Drosophila melanogaster: one gene and its partners. The protein of the gene in region 3 interacts with the protein of the main gene of each other region in a biochemical or structural test. Each region holds a gene or a part of one and is shown on either strand. Other genes may lie near its edges.

Region 1 (4,675 bases), on a different chromosome or scaffold from region 3:
TCCAGTTCTTTAGCTCCGCCAATGTGACTGACCCGTCCTTGTTCTCGTCGATTCGGTCCACAATGACGCCCAATCTCCGCCTGCTCTCCTCGGGTGTCAGGCTGTCGAACTTCTTGGACTCGTCCGGGCCCAAGAAGGCTTCGTGGTCAAACTGGGCATTGTGCTCGCCCCCGTCGAAGTGCCTGGGGTGCAGGGGGTCGTGCTCGAGCGGATTGTGGGGCAGCTCTTCCGGTATGCTGGAGGCACTTGCTCCACTTATCACCGCCGTCAGCGCAACAACAAGTAGCAGCATCTGAATTCGGGTTCTAGCCATTTCTCGTGAGCGCTCACGTCCGTTCGGTTCGGCAGGCAAACTGAGAATAAATCGTGTGTGATTGAGATATTTCGAAAACAACAATCTCTCTTGTTACTTTTCTAGTGCTGCCAGATTATTGGATAAGTGATGCCCAGTTGGCGGGACTTTTGAAAATCATGCAATTACCCCTGGGAAAGAAATTAAACTTAGTTAACCGTTTATTGTAAAAAACAATACAACTTGTGTATGTGTTAGATTGCATTTATTAAACGTCCTTTCTGTAAAGCTAGTTAAATATGGTACAAATAAATATGTGCAGAAATTTGAATTGAAGCGTTGGGCTAACTACAATATTTCACTTAAACTTATTTACATTCACACAGCTGCAGGATTCAGTGACCCAGTGAACAAACGTTTATTTGGGAGCATCCGCGCCGTCCTGTCCCAGAGAACTAAAGTCTCCCGTGTTGCACGAGATGCTGGGAATATCGAAGTTTGAGAAGCCCCGGTAGTTGGACACCTCGGGCTTCAGAGGGGATGGAAGCAGGACAGCTGTGCCGGGCACTTCGCTATCTATAAGGCTATCCGTTGTGCTATCCAGCAGACTGGTCTCCGGCAGAGGCGGCGGTGGCTTGGCAACTAGGCCCTTCTGCGCCAAGGGGTCGAATTCGTCGAGATTCAGCTTTGACTCGTCCGCAGTGCTGTTTTCCCCACTTTGATCCGACAAGTCGAAGTCGTAGTTGATATTGGTCAGGCCTCCTTGAAACTCGGAGCCCAGCATGAGTACGTCTGTGTTCGCATCGGGCACAGGCTCCTCCAAGAGCGAGACGGCATCAAACGCGGTGTAGTTAAAGATTGGAGAGGCGAAGAGGTGATCGGCTGGCTGAACGTTCTGCTGAAGTGGCGACAGACGGCCCATCGAACTCATGCTGGTATCCTTAAGGGACAATCCAGATTCTTTAGACGCCGCTGCGGGCTTTACCAACCCACCGGCTGCTGTCAGCGACTGGGAGGTCAATGAGCCGCCGTGCAGCATATTCGCTTGATAATGACCAGCCTCGCTTTCGTTGAGAAGGTGCGCCCTGGCTTGACCAATCAGAAAAGCGGGTGTTTTGATGGGCAGCAGGTTGAGTGGGGCCTTGGCAATCACGGTGTCTACTCGTTCCGTCACCTCTCTTTGGAAATCGATAAGCTCTTTTTCAAATGAAGTTATTCCAGAGCTTATCAGGGCGTTCCTTTTCTGCAGCATCTCCATTCGCTTCATGTTCTCGGATATCAGGTGAAGGCTCTCGCAGGCCAACAGGGCACTTTCCCAGGGCGTGCTGTAGGGCTGCTGTCCGGACATCAGAGCCTCGAACTCCTCGCTGCTGACGCCCAGACTCTCGCCATTCAGATTCTCTATGAAGGCGATGGCGGAGCACAGATTGGTAAAGTAGTAGCCACTCTCGCCGCTCATCAGCCGCGAAGCGTTTGTGAAGCGCGTAACGAAGTTGATGTTGCTGTGCAGTCGCACTGGATTTGCCTTAAGCACGACGAATATTAGGGCGGGTAGGAAGTCATCCGCACTGGCGGGTCCTCCAGTTGCCCGCTTCAGAAGCTCAAAGATGTGCCTACAGCAGCGCCAAGTGCACTGCAGCTTCTCCTGCGGCGAATAGTACGAATCTATGCCCACCAGCTCGGATATAGCATTGTAAACCAGATCCCTGGCCTCCGAGTTGACCTCGTCGATGCTGCAGTCCAGATGCTTGGCCGTAATCCAGCTCAGCTGGCGTATCCGCTTCTGCACCTTCACGTCACTGTCCTCATCGGTAGTGAAATAGGGACTGAAGAGAAATCTGCAAAAAAAAAAAAAGAGTTTCCCAGATAAAAATATGTACTCCTCTGATATCAACGTTCCGCTTGACTCACTTGTGGTTCTGCGTCATCACCACTTTCTCAAAGAAGTCAATGGCACTATCGCGATCCTCGTTGGTGGCTATCTCGAAGCTGGGATCGTTGTGCACAATGTCTGAGACTTTGGTGTAGGCGTTTTGAACCAAATCTGATAGTTCGTTGATGTTTTTGCCGCCATTTCCGTTCATATACTTGCGGATGTCGCTGTCCAAACGCTGGATTTCAAGCTTGAGTTTCCGCTTGCCATCGTCGGGAATGCGAAGTTGCCGCAATTGCAGTAGGAACTGGCCCTCCGTGGGATCCGGCACATGACCACGCTGTTGGGTAACTAAGGAATATCCAAGTATAAGCATTTAAAGGCAGTGTGGCTATGCAATATTACTTTTTTGGGCTCCCGCCTGCAGAGTTTTTTGCAGCACAGCGGTAAACTTTTTCTTTTGCAGGGTTCCCAAGTTGTCCTGCTCCTTGTCCGACGGCTTCCTGACCTGCTGCTCCACTTTTCCCTGGAGGTGCGCATGCTGTGGCGATCGGCGATCCAAGGTGGCGACCGAGGAAGAGGATCCAGGACCCGTCTCGCCACCCGTCTCTGTAAAGAACCACTTCATGACTCAACGCTCATCGGCTTTGGAGTTATATGCAAGCATTGTCTGGGGACCTACGCTTCAACTTACGCTTCAACTTCCGCTGCTTATCATTAAACTTTTCTCGGAAGCACATCGAGCACAATCCTTCGTTTTGGGGGGTTCCGTAAAACCCGCATCCTGAACGGCACTTGAGGTCCTGCTGGCCCAGCCGCAAAGACGGAGGTCGCGCCGCCGTTGACATCTCGGAGGTGTGGCTATAAAAATACAGCTCCCTTATCTGTGGGAGTCCCTTTGTTGCTTATTGTTTTCGTGACTGAATTGTGGAGATAAATAATTCTACTGCTGCCAGCGTTGCCAGATGGTCTTTTATCCAGTGGTGGGACATCGCTCAGAAAGTTAGAGATGAGCTGGTTCGCCGGCTTTAAGTAGCCGCCCATCGAATGGAACTAGTTCGCTTCGTACAAGGGGGATTTCCCTCTTTTGAATATAATTTTGATAAAAAAGAACGTAGTTCGCATATGACCTGTAAACCCACATACAATTAAAACACTATTCAGTTATGTTCCACTAAAATTGGATTTTAGCATATTTTATTCGTAAAGAAAATATTTAAACTGCAACTTAGGGAAATTTGCACAATTAGATCGAATACATGTAGTAAAATCGTGGTGTCCTAGGGAACATTTCAACACACATTCAATTCTTAGATGCACACAAACATTTTTAAAACCAGTTACACACGTATATCGACATAGCAAGTTGATAAAGTAGTAACATTTAGGACGGTTATACACGTAAAAAGAATGCATTTCTGGAAGGGTCGCTAATGGTAGTAGTTCACAACAGCAATTGGAAAAAGCTCAGAAAACACAGAGTTATGGCTTAGACTAGACTATAAATTTGCAAAGTTTTTTGTCCTAACTGCTCTACGCTACGTTACCGATCTTGTTCCCCAATGAAAAGTTTAAATCTGCAAACAAACCTTTGCATCGTCCAGCTCTCCTCGTAATTGACGATCCAATAATGCACTCAACTACTAACAACTCGACTAGTTCAACACTACCTCTACTTTATCTCTAGTTCTTCTAAATTTGTTCTCTCGTCTAGCAGTAAAAAGATTTGGAAAAAACCATTTTGTCTCTGTTTGTGTTTTGATTAGTCTTAAAAATTGCTAATACTATTTCGCTACTGTCATCAAAATGCAACCTTGCCTTGCCGTGCTCAACTACTATCGATAGTTTACGTATACTTAACATGATCGTTCTTGTTTTCGTTCACTTCCCATTTGCAATTCAACCGTTTCGAAAAAGTCTCGTGTATAGTTTTGAACTGGAATTTAACACTACTTATGATGTCTTTGGCTTTTGTTTTTGCTTTGTATGCGTTCAACTCTTACAGCTAACAATGTAATTATCTTTAACGCGTGTGTTTCAACATTATGCTGACTTTGGTTTTGGTTATAGGTTTTTGATTAAACATTCTTTGGTTTTTGATTTGTTCGTATCTGAGTGTATTCAATTCGCTACAAAAGAGTTGCATTTGTAAAAAATTCAAGTCTAACGATTTGCTTCAATAAATTCCTTGTTCCAATCGCTGATCAATTGGAATTATTTGGCTGATCTGATGACTGTGGTTCTTATTTTGTCTTCGAATTATGTATGAGTACCCTGTGTATTCAAAAGTTCGGCGTATAAAACAGAAAGTACAGCAAGTTAGAAATTGTAAGTTTCAAAAAGAATATGTCTTAACTTTCCATATATACAGTTATACAAACAAAACTCTTGACAAAACGAAGAAACAAAATGAAACATATGACTTTTAAACTATACAAACATGCTGTAATTAAATACTTATAAGAAAATAATCTTTTTTTTTTTTAATTTTATCAAATTGGTAGTTGAAT
Region 2 (5,016 bases), on a different chromosome or scaffold from region 3:
TCGCAGCTATATATAGTGCTCCATATATGCATATGCATATACCTATCTCTATATGGCATATGTTCGCTCATCCAACGGGCAGCTGGGAAGCGGTATCCTTACTAAATAAACAATATGCAAGTCGTTCAAGACCTCGACCCAAGTACTGTTTCAGGGATACTCTCTCAATCTTATTCATTACTCTAGGAGTATTCAAACTATAGGTAATATAATATTTATATTATATTATTTAAAAATTTAGTAGAATCCAAGGATCCCACTAGAAATTCTAAAATAATATTCGACATATATTTTCAGCATGAACATTTATTGCAGCATGCGATTTTAGAGCTCTGTTGTTTATACATTCATGAGAAAATCCATACAATCTTCGGTGCCTACCATCTGTGGTACAGAGCTTATGTGCGTCCTACTTAGTTCCAGTTCTTATATTTTCCGCAAACGCTTCAGAACTTTAATTACGGCTTTCGAACTTTAATAAACGCCAAGATTTGGCCCAGCCACACGAGGAGAATCGCATCAATGGCTGGCTGTACATTAATAGTTCATCCTGGCCGGCACGCATGTCTGGAGCTGGTGAGTCAGTGGCGCGGGTTCAATGTCCTGGCGCGCCTTAAAGAATGCCACCGCGACTCCTTGGCACACGAGCAACAAAAACAAAAGGCGAGCATAATGGGTAAATTGCTCATATTTTGTTATTCTGATTAAAAAAAATGCGCCCGCTCTCATTAACTGCAGAAATTCGCGAGGAAATGTCCTAGTGGCCAGGGCTCCACATGGGCAGCGGCGATGTAGTAAGGGTTGTGGGTGGAGGGGGCTGGGGGTAAAGATGGAGGCAGACCCACAAATGCATTAAGAGCCATAGGACGCATGCCCCCAAACAATAAGCGTGCATTGTGCACTACGAACTGCAGTGGCCATACCCGAGACTACTGGGGGCCCTCATCTCGTGGCGTCTGTATGCACACACATGTACAGTGCGTTTCGAACGAGTAAGGCGGACTTCGTTCGTTCAGTGAAGTGAGTTGCATACTGGTGTATTCTTCCGCGTAATAAAAATCAGAAGTTAATGAGAAACTTGGAATCTCTTTTTTTCCATGTATTATAAGTCATCATCCTTTACCATTTCGCTTATATCACGGTTTCCAGAAATGCCAATCAAGTTGTTTTTGAAGTTACTTAACACAGGTTGATACTGGACCTTTGTTTAAACATTTTACGGAAACAGATTAATCTACTAAGCACACAACATGCAAATATTTAAAAGTAAATTATACCTTCCTAACTTACAGTTAGATATATAACTACGTCTCGTGCTGTCTATGCATATGTAGAGCATTTTGGGATTTTGAGGTCATAGGCTCGAGCAGCCACAGCAGCATCTGCATCGTGGAGTGAGGGGGAGGGGGGGATATGTGTGCTGGGGGCCTTCAGATCCGTCTATCTCGATTGTACTTAACCCGCCTCTCGATTTACTGTCTGCTACCAAATGCGGAGATACGGATTGAGTATCTGAGCCGCCGGAATGAAAATGCGCCTACTGTAGGCTAATTTTGTTTTCCTTTGTCCCCTTTCTAATTTACCTTCTTGCTCTTTAACTTCCTATTTACATTGTTTAATTATTTATGTCACATTCAATAATTGCTTTTACAATTTTTATTGCAAACATTGTGCGATTTCCAACAGCTCTAGGGATTCAAATGTCAATTATTGATGAATTTTTATTGAAATGGCAATTGGGTCAAACAGTGCTTAAGCATTTACCATCAGATATATGTAGGATGATTGATTGCATTGCGTTTTATTTTGGGGAATTATTTTCATTTCAGTCGATGCACTTTGTATAAACACCCAAATTTACTAACTTGATCGATACGATATATCATCTTATAGAGCTTAAAAAAGCTGGGTTCGGAAAAATCGAAGTTTTCAAATTTGGAGCCTTACCATTATATCCTCGGAGATAGCGGTTTTTGCCTTCTTGGACCTGGTCGCAGCGGTGGAGTGAGATCCTTCGGGTGGGAGGGACAGCTCCTGGATGCACATGGATTGCGCAAAGAGTGCGAGCAGGGTGGCGAGAACATATTTGGAAAACATTTCGCCGCTCTCTTTCGCTCGCGCAACGAAAACACTTGGACACGAAACTATTCCTCGATCAGTAGGAACAAAACTGTGTATTTATCTTTATTCTATGTTCGAGGCTTAATTAACCGATGTGGTGGACTAACAATTCGTAGTGCTAAGCTGGGAATTGAACTTTTCACTTTTGTTTTAGTTTCGCTGCTGTTGTTGTTTTTGCTATTGTTGTCGCCTCGGCCGCGGGGGTTGACACAGACACACATGCGCATTGGCGGCACTCACACGAATACCCGGCAGCATAAATACAGCTGCAGCAGCAACAAAAACAACGGAAGGAGCGATGGGTTGTGGCGGGGAGCGGTGGGGATTGGGCGGGGGTATTCCCGTTTTTCCGTTTGGCGCTTCTTGTTCTGGCGTTTTGTGCTTGCCGCTTTGTTGTGGCCACTGCTTCTTTCCTTGGCTTTCCTTTCTCTCTGTGCCTTCCGCCCTTTTGCGCTCTTTTACATATGACGCATACGAATGGTGGGAAAACAAGGAGCTGGGGGCGTTGAGTTGGGTTGGGCTGGATAGAATTTAAATTTGGTGTGTATAGAATGCACACTATAGAATGCCACTTGGCCACAAAAACACAATTAATTAGCACGCAGTGGCTGCACAAAGGAAAGACTTTCCTTGTTCATCCGTTTTTTAGTATATGCCCGATACCAACACCGATTCCCGATTCGCGTTACCCGATTCCTGTCAACCGTTACGTCGCTTTGTTCACCCCACAAAAGAAAACGCTAGAAGTGGGCGGTGCTCTTTTATTCGCGTGTTTTGTGCAAGCATAAATCTCAATTTCTCCTTTTTACATTTATTTGTTTCTGTCGAATTCGAAATAAAAAATCTCGTTATACCGCCGAAAGCGGGTTTACCGCGCGGATGTCTAAATGTGACTGAACTGCTGACTTGCCTCGACGTGAAGCGACTTGAAGAGGCGGGCACAAAGAGCACAAAAATACAGAGTAGCTTCTCTTCATTTGGGCGGATATGCCAGCGATCGCGGTTGATTTATGAAAATACGTAAGAGTAGAAGAAACTCGCTCTTGTCTCACGCTCTTAAGGGGGCACAGAAAGAAAAAGCACGAATTCCAAGAGGCTCTAAAGGATTTTAAAAAATTATTTTAAATTAGGCAGCAAAAAACATTTTTTTTTTCGTAATAATCTTTTTAAATTCTGAGCCTATAACTTTGTTCATCCGTATTTGTATAGTTTTTTATTTAGAGATCTGAAATCCAATGTATTTAAAATTTCCTTTTTACATATGAAAGAATTATATTAAAACTGAAAGTACAAACACCGTGGTCAAAGACATTTATGTATTTTCCACTTTGTTATTATATTTGACTCATAAAAAAGTAATTTAATTAATTTAATTTAATTTAAACTTAAATCGGTAGCAGTATATAAATTATTGCTACATTCATTATAATTTTATACCATATACTCTTATGATTTGATTTTTGGTATTTTATTGTAAAACAATAATAAACAAAATTTTTTTTAAATAGTATAATAGCTTCAAATATTTCAAATTATGTTGGTCTGTGTGACTTTGGGTAGGTTCTTTTCTTAAGTGTATATTAATATTTCTCTCTGCTCTTCGATATTAATATTTTTTGGCTACTTTATACTCTTCGATTTTGGCTACCTAAAAAGTGTCAGTCTAACACGTTTCCGCCAAGTTGGGACATTTGCCTATTGCACAATAAACACAAGGCAGATGGCGTTAAATATTGATTGATCGAGTAGTTCCATGAAAAAGGAAACTAAAATCTAAAAAATAATGAATCGATATGAGTTAGCTACATTTGATTTCTAATATTTATGAATAAGTATGAATACACCCACACCCTCGAAAATAAAAAACCCAGATCAAAAAAAAAAAAGCCCATATATTCTTGGGTACTTGTTATCATATACTGCAGAGTATTATTCACCAAGCCGGTTATATTTTTGAATGAATCAAAATACGAATGTTAGCCGCTGCCGGTTACTCAACGTAGTATTCGAAAGGATGATTATCTTTTTCCATTCACAATCTTTTGGAAATCCCAAATAGTCATTGATAATGCTCTTGCATAAGCAGCCTTGATATATCCAATATCAATGTCCACTTAAACTCAATTTACTGTCACTTAATCATAGCCAATCTAGAACCGCAGTAGATCTAGTCCCTTGATGAGTCGAAATGCTATAAAATCTATAAATGATTGTTTTGAAAATGTATATGTTCTGCGATAAATGCAAGTTTATCATAAATATATAACCCCCACGGGGTAAGAGATAGTAAAATCATATTTTGGTATTATCACATTCAAATGTATTTCATTTCGAAACATGATCGTTTAGTGGCGTGCACCACTGTATGTACACACAGATATCCGAAACAACTTGCCGGCAATTTCTGAACTTAGACTGAGGTCTTGGGTTCAAGTGCTAATTGGCCACGAAATTGAATGCAAAACCGATTTTTGATCTGCGGCTGACCCAAATAAAGTACAAATGACAAAATTACTGATGATACATGGTCGGGCCATCGAAAGGTGAGTAATTTTCGAAGTTGCGACATCAATATATATAAAATCGTCTTATCAGTTCGATGTTGTTACACCTATTACTCAATGGTAGTTTTGATAGAAAAGGCAGACCCATGGTCAGGAGCGAGAAAGCAGTTATCGGAAGCTTCCAGCGGAAGGAAACACAAGATAGTGCGGCTCGGTGTGAGCGTTCCGAGAGGTTAGTAACTCTTCAATGATTCACTGCATCATTGCACTATCTTTCTTGTTTACTGGCTTTCGCTACAACTGCTGATAGCCGTATCTTTATCGTTAGCTTAAGTACTTCCATACCCCTTGAGCTGGTCGGGAGTATCGAAACAGTCGCCGATTTAAGATC
Region 3 (3,475 bases):
GAGAAGCAACACTTCAGTCTGACCAAAATCCTCAAGAAGGAGGAGCAAGAAGCGAGCGGTTCAAAGCGAAAGCGTCGTCAGAAGTTAAAGAAATCGAAAAATCAGCCGCAGAATGCGGAGAAGCTGGACGACGACTTCCAGGTAAACCTGAATGATAATCGCTTCAGTGCCGTTTACAAGTCGCACGAGTACAACATCGATCCCACCCACTCCCATTACAAGCCCACCAAGGGCATGCAGCAGATCATCGGCGAGAAGTTAAAGCGCAGAAAGGAGCAGGGGGAGGGCGGCGCTGCAAACGGCGATGCGGATGGGGATGAGCAGGTAGCCCCCAAGAGGAGTAAGCAGCAGCTGGAGCAGAACGCCCTGGTAAAGAGTCTGAAGCGTAAGATCCAGCTGCAGCAGCAGGGCCAGAAGCTTTAGAGGATTAATGTTACTGTACAATAGGTGAACAAATGTAAATTAAAGACTACGTTAATGACATTGAGCGAGACTGTTTTGGAATATACATTATATACTGTTTATAGCTGACAGATCCCCTGGCAAAAGCACAGGCGCACACAAAGCACAGCACACACCTTAATTTATCGCTTAAGCTAGCCTAGTTCTTAAGTACAATGAAATATTTGTTGAGGTCTCCTCGTGCTGGTGAGCTGACCATTGGCTTCCGTTAGTAGCTGTAGCTGAAGTAATGCTTGTAGAGGGTCACAGTCATGCCGGCGTCGAGGTGGAAGATGTCTGGTAGGCAGATGCGGCGCTCCTGCTCGTAAACGACCATCAGCTCGCAAACTTGCGCCCACACGGGATCGTAGAGACGCCGGATGAGCTGGCAGTCGAGCCGGGGGCGGACCAGCGCCTGGACTACGGTGTGCAGTAGGGCAGGGGTGGCGTTCTTGTCGAGAAACGCGGCGAAGGGGCTGCGTCCGAGGCACAGCTCGTAGAGGACTAGCCCCAGTGACCACACGTCCGACTTGAAATCCACCTTGCCCTGGCTGGACATCGCCTCCGGGGCCATGTACATGGGCGTGCCCATGCCCGCCTGCAGTTGAGTGCTGGGCGCATGAACGTTCGCGATCCCAAAGTCGGCGATCTTGACGCGGTCGTTGGCGTCGAGGAGCATGTTCTCGGGCTTGATGTCTCGGTGGATGACGCAGCGGATGTGCAGGTACTCGAGTCCCACTACCATGTCGCGGAAGTAGCCCATCAGCCGCTCCTGATTGACTCCCCCGGTGCCTGACGGCAGCTGCTGGATGACATCCCTCAAGGTGCCGTTGGGCACGTACTCCATCACGATGTTCACAGTGCCCGCGTGGCTAAAGGAGCGCAGGAACTCAACGATGTGCGGGTGGCGCAGCTGCGAGATGATGTACACCTCCTCCTTGATCAATCCCAACTCTGTCTTCGGATTCCGGACGATGATCCGCTTCACGCACACCTTCCTCTCCGGCTGTCCGCGCACCTCGTTTTGGTGGCAGAGGAAGACCCGGCCAAAGGTGCCCTGGCCCAGCACCCTTACCGCACGCAGCTTAGAGTCACCCAGTTCCATCTCGAGTGCGCAGAGTTCCGAAAGCGTAATCCGCGATCCCGCCTTGATGTACAGTTAGCCAGCAAAAGCGCAAGCGCGCCATCTATCGATTGCTTCGAAACAAGAGATGCACAGTTCCATCGGAAAAAGCCGAAAACTCGGAACTTCGGAAACCCCATATGAAAATTGCTCATCTGGCCAGCAGCAACAGTGCTCAATGAAAGTAAGTTATTAGAGTCTGGTTAATTAATCAAACTAACGCATCGTGAACTAACCCCATTCAAAAAGTCCATCCATGTGAAAAGTATGACTATCCTAAATTTTTATTTATTTTATTTAACAAAATTAAATATAGTATACAATACTAAACCTAATTAAATTTAATGAGTACTAGCTACGGGGGCCTTCGACTCGAGACTTATGGGTTAATTGCTTTATATAATAAACTTAGCTTTTTGGACAAATTTGTAAATTTTTGAGATATTTTCACAGGATGGGATACTTAAACAATTCGAGAGACTATGTGTACCAAATAAGTGAGATCTAATTGAGTGCAATTGACTGCAGGCGTTGAGAATATGGTCAACGGTGAGCTCGTCCCCGCATAGTTGGCATGTTGGTCGCGCCGATCTCATCAGTAAGTGTTGATGTGTGGATTGGGTGTGCCCGATGCGTAGACGGATAAAGGTCGCGCATTCCCGTTTATGTACGTTCGTTGGTGGCTTGAACATGATGCAATTCGGATTGATAGACTGGTACCTGTGCATGAAGAGTGCCCATTCGGAGAGTTTCTTTTCTTTGAGGTATAACTTGATTCGACTTTTTAGGTCCTTGGAGTTAAACGGAGTGAACAGGATTGATGGTGTAAGCCTCATCTCTTGGGCGGCTTTGTCAGCAAGTTCATTCCCATGAATACCTTGATGACTGGGAACCCAGAGTAAGGTGATTTTTTTTGGGTGAGAACTTAGAATGTGCCTAACTTCTTGTGTTGTGGGGTCATTATGGTTCCAGTTGCGTATAGCGGAAAGAGAGGAGAGGCTGTCTGTGCAGATAACAGATTTTCCAGCGTTTTTGGAAGCGAATTGGCATGCTTTGAGAATGGCGAAAGCTTCGGCTGTAAATATGGAGTTGTAGGACGGAAGCCTACCTCCTGCAATTATTTTACGGTTAGAGTCAACAACCGCAAAAGTAGTTGCGCCGGTGACTTTAGAACCATCGGTGTAGATCCAGTTTTTCACACCAAGATCTTCTTGTGCGCTCATAAAACGTTTTTGGTATTCTAGGCGACCTGTATCCTTTTTGGCAGCATTGTATATTTGAAGGTTTATGTTAGGCTGTTTGGAACCCCAAAGTGCTGGCGATTTGAAGGGCCTCCTGGGCTTAGGCAGGGGAAGGTCAAGTAGCTTGATGTAGTTGGCGCAACGTCTTAGGGTGGATATGCACTTGAATTTCCGTTTTTGTTTAAATATGGCTCCGAAGTCTTTGGTTAGCAGGCAGTTTGACGTGGTGTACAGCTTCGGGATAAGCATCAATGTAGTTTCTTCTACGCGTGATTGGATACTCGGGAGACCCGATTCTGCCAATGTGCACGCTACTGGAGATGTGGGAAATGCGTGAATGGCGCGACGGACCGCTCCGTGATATGGGACTTGTAGCTTTTTTAAGTGTGATTTAGCACACCAACCGAAGATTGGCAGTCCGTAGTCAATTTTAGATAGCATTAAAGCGCGCGTTCGGCATTCCACAGTCTTCGGGTGGAGACGTGTTTCTTTCAAGCTACGAATAGCAAGTTCTAAAAACTACAACAGTATAGTGAAAGTTAAACACAAAGTGTAAAGTGCAGTTTGCACAACTAACAATTATTGACTATAGTAATTATTTACTAAAATAAATAATTATTCCATATTGTTCTGGTAATTGTTATATGTGGACTTAGAACAATGAATCAAA
Region 4 (5,356 bases), on a different chromosome or scaffold from region 3:
TCGACTTTGACCAATCCGACTCCTCTTCCTCCTCATCGAACATATTTAATACGTAAAGTTTTGAAATTTATGACCCTATCCTATATATATGATTTGTTTAATATTGTACATTTATTGTAAATATTCTGACAAGCAAAGCTTACAATTTTGGATGCTAATAAATAAATTTTATTTAAATTATAATGATCCCTTTGTACTTTTTTTTTGGAATCTAGTAAATCGGGTAATTGCCAATGGTAATTCTTCCATGTAAGTAAATCTAGGATTTAGCTTGATCCAAGTGTACTTCTCTTGTCCGAAAATCCTGTAATTACTTTTAGACCTTTTATTTGATTTAAACCCTTTACTAAAAACTGGATTGATATTAAACGACCTTAGCCTGCCTTTTAATAGCATTCGACTAACTTTCCTTACCAAATCCCCAATAGTTAATGTTAATACTTCTCAGCACCAAAACCCACAAAGTGAACGAGCCTTTTTTTTATAGACCAGTCATTTCAGTTATCTTAAGAGCGCATTTAAAAATTGAATTGCTTTCCATTTATTTAATACAATTTTGATTTCTGAAATAGTTCATCTGTTTTTATTGATTCCACGATTTAGACTCTATTTCAGATACTAGCGTTACACAGGGCATATCCGTTTTATTTGCTAACGTTGCCCTCCTCGTTCGCAGAATTATTCAGATCACTGTTGTTGCAAGTATCGCCAACGGATGCGCCAACGTTTGCGACATAAAGGGCGGGGTCTATGACCTTCGGAATAGGCTTTATTTCGGTTCCAAGTTCTTTTTCAATCCGATGCAGATCAAACCGATCCTCGTAGGTTATCAGATTAATAGCAATACCTTAAAATGAGAAACGAAGATTGTAAATAGGCTAAACTATAATATGAGAATGCAATTAAACTCACCCAAATGACCGAAACGTCCTGAGCGACCAATTCGATGCAAGTATGTCTCTGCCATTCGTGGGAAATCGAAATTGATTACTACATTCACGGCCTGCACGTCGATACCACGGGTGAACAGGTCGGAGCACACCAGATTGCGACAGAGTCCTTGGCGGAAATCGTGGAATACTCGATTTCTGTGTGCCTGGGCCATCTTAGCGTGTATATAGTAACAGCAATATCCAAGCTCTGTGATCTTTTTGGCCAATAGCTCGACACGTTGCGTGGAATTGCAGAATATGATAGACTGATTGATCTGCAGCTTCGAAAAGAGCGTATTCAAGCAGTGTACTTTCTGGCGCTCCTGTACGAATGCATAGTACTGAGTGACACCCTTCAGTGTTAGCTCCTCCATCAGGTTGATCTCGTAAGGCTCGCGTAAATGCTTCTCCATGAAATTCTTGACTGTTAGTGGAAATGTTGCGGAAAATAGCAAGATCTGTGGATCCTTTGGTAACTTTAGTATAACATGATCCAGCATGCCTTGAAAATCAAGCGACAATAGCTTATCGGCCTCATCCAAAACTAATATTCTGCAATGCGACATATCGGCAACTTTCTTATCCATCAGATCTAATATTCGTCCGGGAGTGGCAATAATTAATTGTACTGCAGGCGTAGGGAAAATTTAGAAAGTTGCAATTAAACCGATATTAGGTTATTTAACTATCATCAAAACCCACCTTTTTGATAAATACGAAGAATGTCATCCTTTAGAATGGTACCTCCCGTTGTGACCATTACCCGGATATCAAGATGTTTCGCCAGCTCAATACATATCTGTGAGGTTTGTAGCGCCAACTCTCGGGTGGGGACCATCACAAGTGCCTGAATGTAGTCCTTGGTTGGGTCGATTTGTTCTAAAACTGGGATGCAGTAGGCTCCTGTCTTGCCTGTGCCGTTCTTGGCCCGAGCCAGCACATCTTTTCCACTTAATGCTATAGGAATAGCTGCTTCCTGAATTGGCGAAGGGCGCTCCCATCCCTTCTCGAATATACCCATAAGCAGTTCTCTTTTAAGGCAAAACTCCTCGAATTCATTGCCTCGCGTATCGGTCACATCCTGAGTAAGGCAATGGCAATACATTTATTTGTTAGTTTGTTTGTGCTTTAAATTGTATAAATTCCGATTGATTTGTCGGCAAACTCACAGTTGTTTTGAATCGGTTGTCCTTTGGCGGCAGCTTCAGCTTTGATTTCCAGCCCATATCGTCACTTGTGTTTCCAGCAATTTGAAGATCATTTATAATCCTGGATGAAAAGAAAAAAAATAAAATGGTAATTAAAGTATTACGATATATGTAGGTCATTCACATCCATATATATATGGATGGCATATATAAGCATATATATATATTAAAAATTTTTGATTTTTAAAATTTTGTAAATGAGTTCTTTTATGTAAAGTGCATTTTAAGCTAAAGTCTAAGCCATGTATTAATGTATATTAATAATAATGTTAATATTGATTTTAAATCGTAAACAAAGATGGATAATGTCTTGAATATTTAAGAACTGAACAATCTAAAAGCGATTGAACTCAACATTTTTTCTCTTTCGCACATTTATGGAGGAGAGAAAAAGAAACGCTACTCCAAATTTTAAAATGGCAGCCCACGAATAACTGTTCATGGCGCTGAAATGCAAAAAAAAAATACCTGTTTTGTTCTGATCTCAAAAGTTGAGAATCACCCAATAGAAGTTTTACCTAAATACAGTGTTAGTTTCTAAATGATTTAAGTCAGTGCAATTATATTTAGCAACATTTTTAGCGGTAAATAAGTCCACGAGTGCAACTACATATGTAGATAACTCTTTTATACATATGTACACATGTTCCGCTACTACATACAATAAAGTAATATAAATACGGGAATCACATTGTTTGGTTTTTTTCATTAGATAACATGTTCTGCAGGTTTAGTTGTTGAGTGAAAACAGCCTAACTACATGATGTTGCTAAAATACAGATCTTCGGCTTTTACATGCTCAATCATTTGCAAAAATTGACGTTCTAAACTATAAAACGGCTTGTCTTTTCGGCATCTAATCATAAATATGGGCTGATGAATACGCATGCATATTATGTTTGTTGGGACACCAAGCTTGGGTCCTCTTGTGAAAAAAAAAATATAAATAAATATAAAATATACAAACCCCTTGCTTGTTAAATTAGTGTGCCCAGAATTTAACTTTTCAGTCATCATTATTCACAGTGAAATTTTAGTTTAGTTTGTTTAAAAAATGTATTTCGCTCTCTTTTGCTTTCGGCTGACTAATGAAGTCACTGTATTCACCGATTTTCATATACTGCTCACGTATTCAACTTTGCGTTTCAATATAAAATTTCACTTAGCTTCAAAATAGTCGAGTCGCCTTACAACATGCTATCAATAATACAAATTTCTGATGACTCGGAAAATATTTTCACTCGGTGTAGATAATAAATATGTATTGCCCTGATTTGGAACGTTGGAATGAAACAAATTTTGCAAGTTCAAAATGACGAACAATAATATTGTAGAAATTTATACATGGCTTAACAAAAACAAATGAACGTTTTAAAATTAGTCCACATATTTAGGCAAGAATTATTTTATTTAAAAAAAATCGGCATTTAAATTTTCCTCTTATAAATCCTGTAGGTGTATATGTATACCCAAATATTTCACATTTTTGTTGTGTTAGCTGCTGTTGCCGTTATTTTAAATTTAAATTAATTTAGAAAAGCATTTCCAATGAGCAACTCCACTCCGGCCGGGTTAAAATCACCGTTTAATTATAACAAAAACAATATATGAACTGCATTTCAGATGAAGCAGCTGCCTGTGTGAACGGGACTTAGGAACGACAGGAAGATTTCGAACGTGTATGAAAGAAGAACATCTGAGTTAAGCTTTAATTTGATTGTCTGCGATTTTTATGAATATCTTTTCATTTATAATTTATAAGTATTAAATATTTAATGAAAGATCACATTAGAAACTAACTAATAACATTAAAATGAATAAAAATTATTTTTTTGATTTTTCTTTTCTTAACCAATGGATTTATACTTTATTTATACTTATTCCGATTGGAGAATGACAAAATTAATATATTTGTATTAGAATAAATAAATAGTACTTGCGATAGAGGAGATTTGTATATTATAAAAATGACATTTATGTTTGCGATTTTAGTTTGTGTCATGAAAGAATATATGGAAAAAAGTCAGCTAATAACTAGACTTAAGTTAATTGAAAAGATAAATACTTGCGTATCGTTGACATTTTCCAGGTGATTTATGGTGCGTAGAGTACTTAGACGATTAAAGGATCCATTGCTTACCTCACCCACCTCTGTACATAAGTGTGTATGGATGTGTGTATCTGTGTACCTTATCAATTTCCCCTTAATGAGCTTTGCACAATGTTAACACGAGCAGTCGCATTTGTCTTGCCGTCAGAAGCTAGTGTACAAAGTCATCAATTGAATTGTGTAGATAGATAGATATGTGTTAGAACCACAAAGTACCTACATAAATATGCGGCCATTTGGGTGTATTGATACCATCCGTGAGCACCCCCAGCATGCTAAGTGTTAGGCACTCCATGGGGCATAACTTATTTGTATAGGCTTACGAGAATCCATAAATGTATTGCCTATATACGTCGAGCTATGTCCGTCTGTGTGCGGGCCAAATGTTTACCCATAAACATTCGCATTTGCTCGCGAAGGAATCGCGAAGACTTCAGTTCAGTTCGTTAAATCCGGCAACTGCATGCGGTTCGAAGTGTATATGGTCCGATAACGATTCCTCAATGATAAGATATGAAAAGTCCGTTCTAAGAAAAGATACAAACATTACACAAGCTCGCAAATCGGTCATTGGGTATAATAGACGAGCCGTAAACAATGAACATCGGACTAAGTTTAGTGTGCCTGATTTTAAGTGGCATTTCAAAAGTGCTCGCCGTTCAGTTATGCTGTGCCGCGAATTCGTTACTATTCAAATATCGCCGCACTGTGGACAATGCGGAAATATACCAGTGCGCTTCCGCCGCAAGCAACATCAGTGAACTTCCGGATCTTGCCCAAGTGATAGGCAAATTGATACCACCAATGGGCCTTGGATTAGAAAAGGCTATCAATGACTCAGGCCACAGCCAATTCGCACTATCAAAGTGCCAGAACTTTAGCAGTCTGAGTATAAGTGATTTAGGTGAACGCACCTTGAATTTGCGAAATAACTCATGCATTGGACTATTAAACAGACGTCTCATCGTTTTATCTTGTGAATTCGAAAAGAATGTGCCGTCTCAAAGTGTTGGATTTGTAAACAAGTGCTGCCCACAGGGATTTATTTACGTTTCCGAAAATAATACATGCAAACCGGGCGAAAGCGATTTCTTTGTTTATACTTC

What was found.
Region 1: of the proteins of png (region 3) and Rabex-5, one has a biochemical effect on the other in vitro, tested with the Drosophila melanogaster proteins (one study listed by BioGRID).
Region 2: of the proteins of png (region 3) and Mmp2, one has a biochemical effect on the other in vitro, tested with the Drosophila melanogaster proteins (one study listed by BioGRID).
Region 4: of the proteins of png (region 3) and me31B, one has a biochemical effect on the other in vitro, tested with the Drosophila melanogaster proteins (one study listed by BioGRID).

The regions. Positions count from the first base shown.
Region 1 is NT_037436.4:1,294,364-1,299,038, reverse strand, and holds Rabex-5 (Rabaptin-5-associated exchange factor for Rab5), read right to left. Parts: upstream 3,127-4,675; 5' UTR 3,014-3,126; coding exon 2,860-3,013; intron 2,775-2,859; coding exon 2,571-2,774; intron 2,517-2,570; coding exon 2,204-2,516; intron 2,131-2,203; coding exon 711-2,130; 3' UTR 542-710; downstream 1-541. Other genes in the region: scf (supercoiling factor), read right to left, coding at 1-313.
Region 2 is NT_033778.4:9,680,836-9,685,851, forward strand, and holds the start of Mmp2 (matrix metalloproteinase 2), read right to left. Parts: upstream 3,024-5,016; 5' UTR 2,098-3,023; coding exon 1,948-2,097; intron 1-1,947. UniProt on the Drosophila melanogaster protein: Has metalloproteinase activity. Proteolytically cleaves the PGRP-LC receptor; involved in gut-fat body innate immunological communication (GFIC)-mediated activation of the imd/Relish signal transduction pathway.
Region 3 is NC_004354.4:1,355,988-1,359,462, forward strand, and holds png (pan gu), read right to left. Parts: upstream 1,615-3,475; 5' UTR 1,547-1,614; coding exon 671-1,546; 3' UTR 501-670; downstream 1-500. Other genes in the region: CG11417 (uncharacterized protein), read left to right, coding at 1-423.
Region 4 is NT_033779.5:10,237,337-10,242,692, reverse strand, and holds me31B (maternal expression at 31B), read right to left. Parts: upstream 3,353-5,356; 5' UTR 3,158-3,352; coding exon 3,108-3,157; intron 2,755-3,107; exon of another isoform or gene 2,609-2,754; intron 2,202-2,608; coding exon 2,102-2,201; intron 2,014-2,101; coding exon 1,635-2,013; intron 1,561-1,634; coding exon 913-1,560; intron 848-912; coding exon 645-847; 3' UTR 521-644; downstream 1-520. Other genes in the region: chico, read left to right, coding at 1-56; mthl15 (methuselah-like 15), read left to right, coding at 4,848-5,356. UniProt on the Drosophila melanogaster protein: ATP-dependent RNA helicase which is a core component of a variety of ribonucleoprotein complexes (RNPs) that play critical roles in translational repression and mRNA decapping during embryogenesis, oogenesis, neurogenesis and neurotransmission.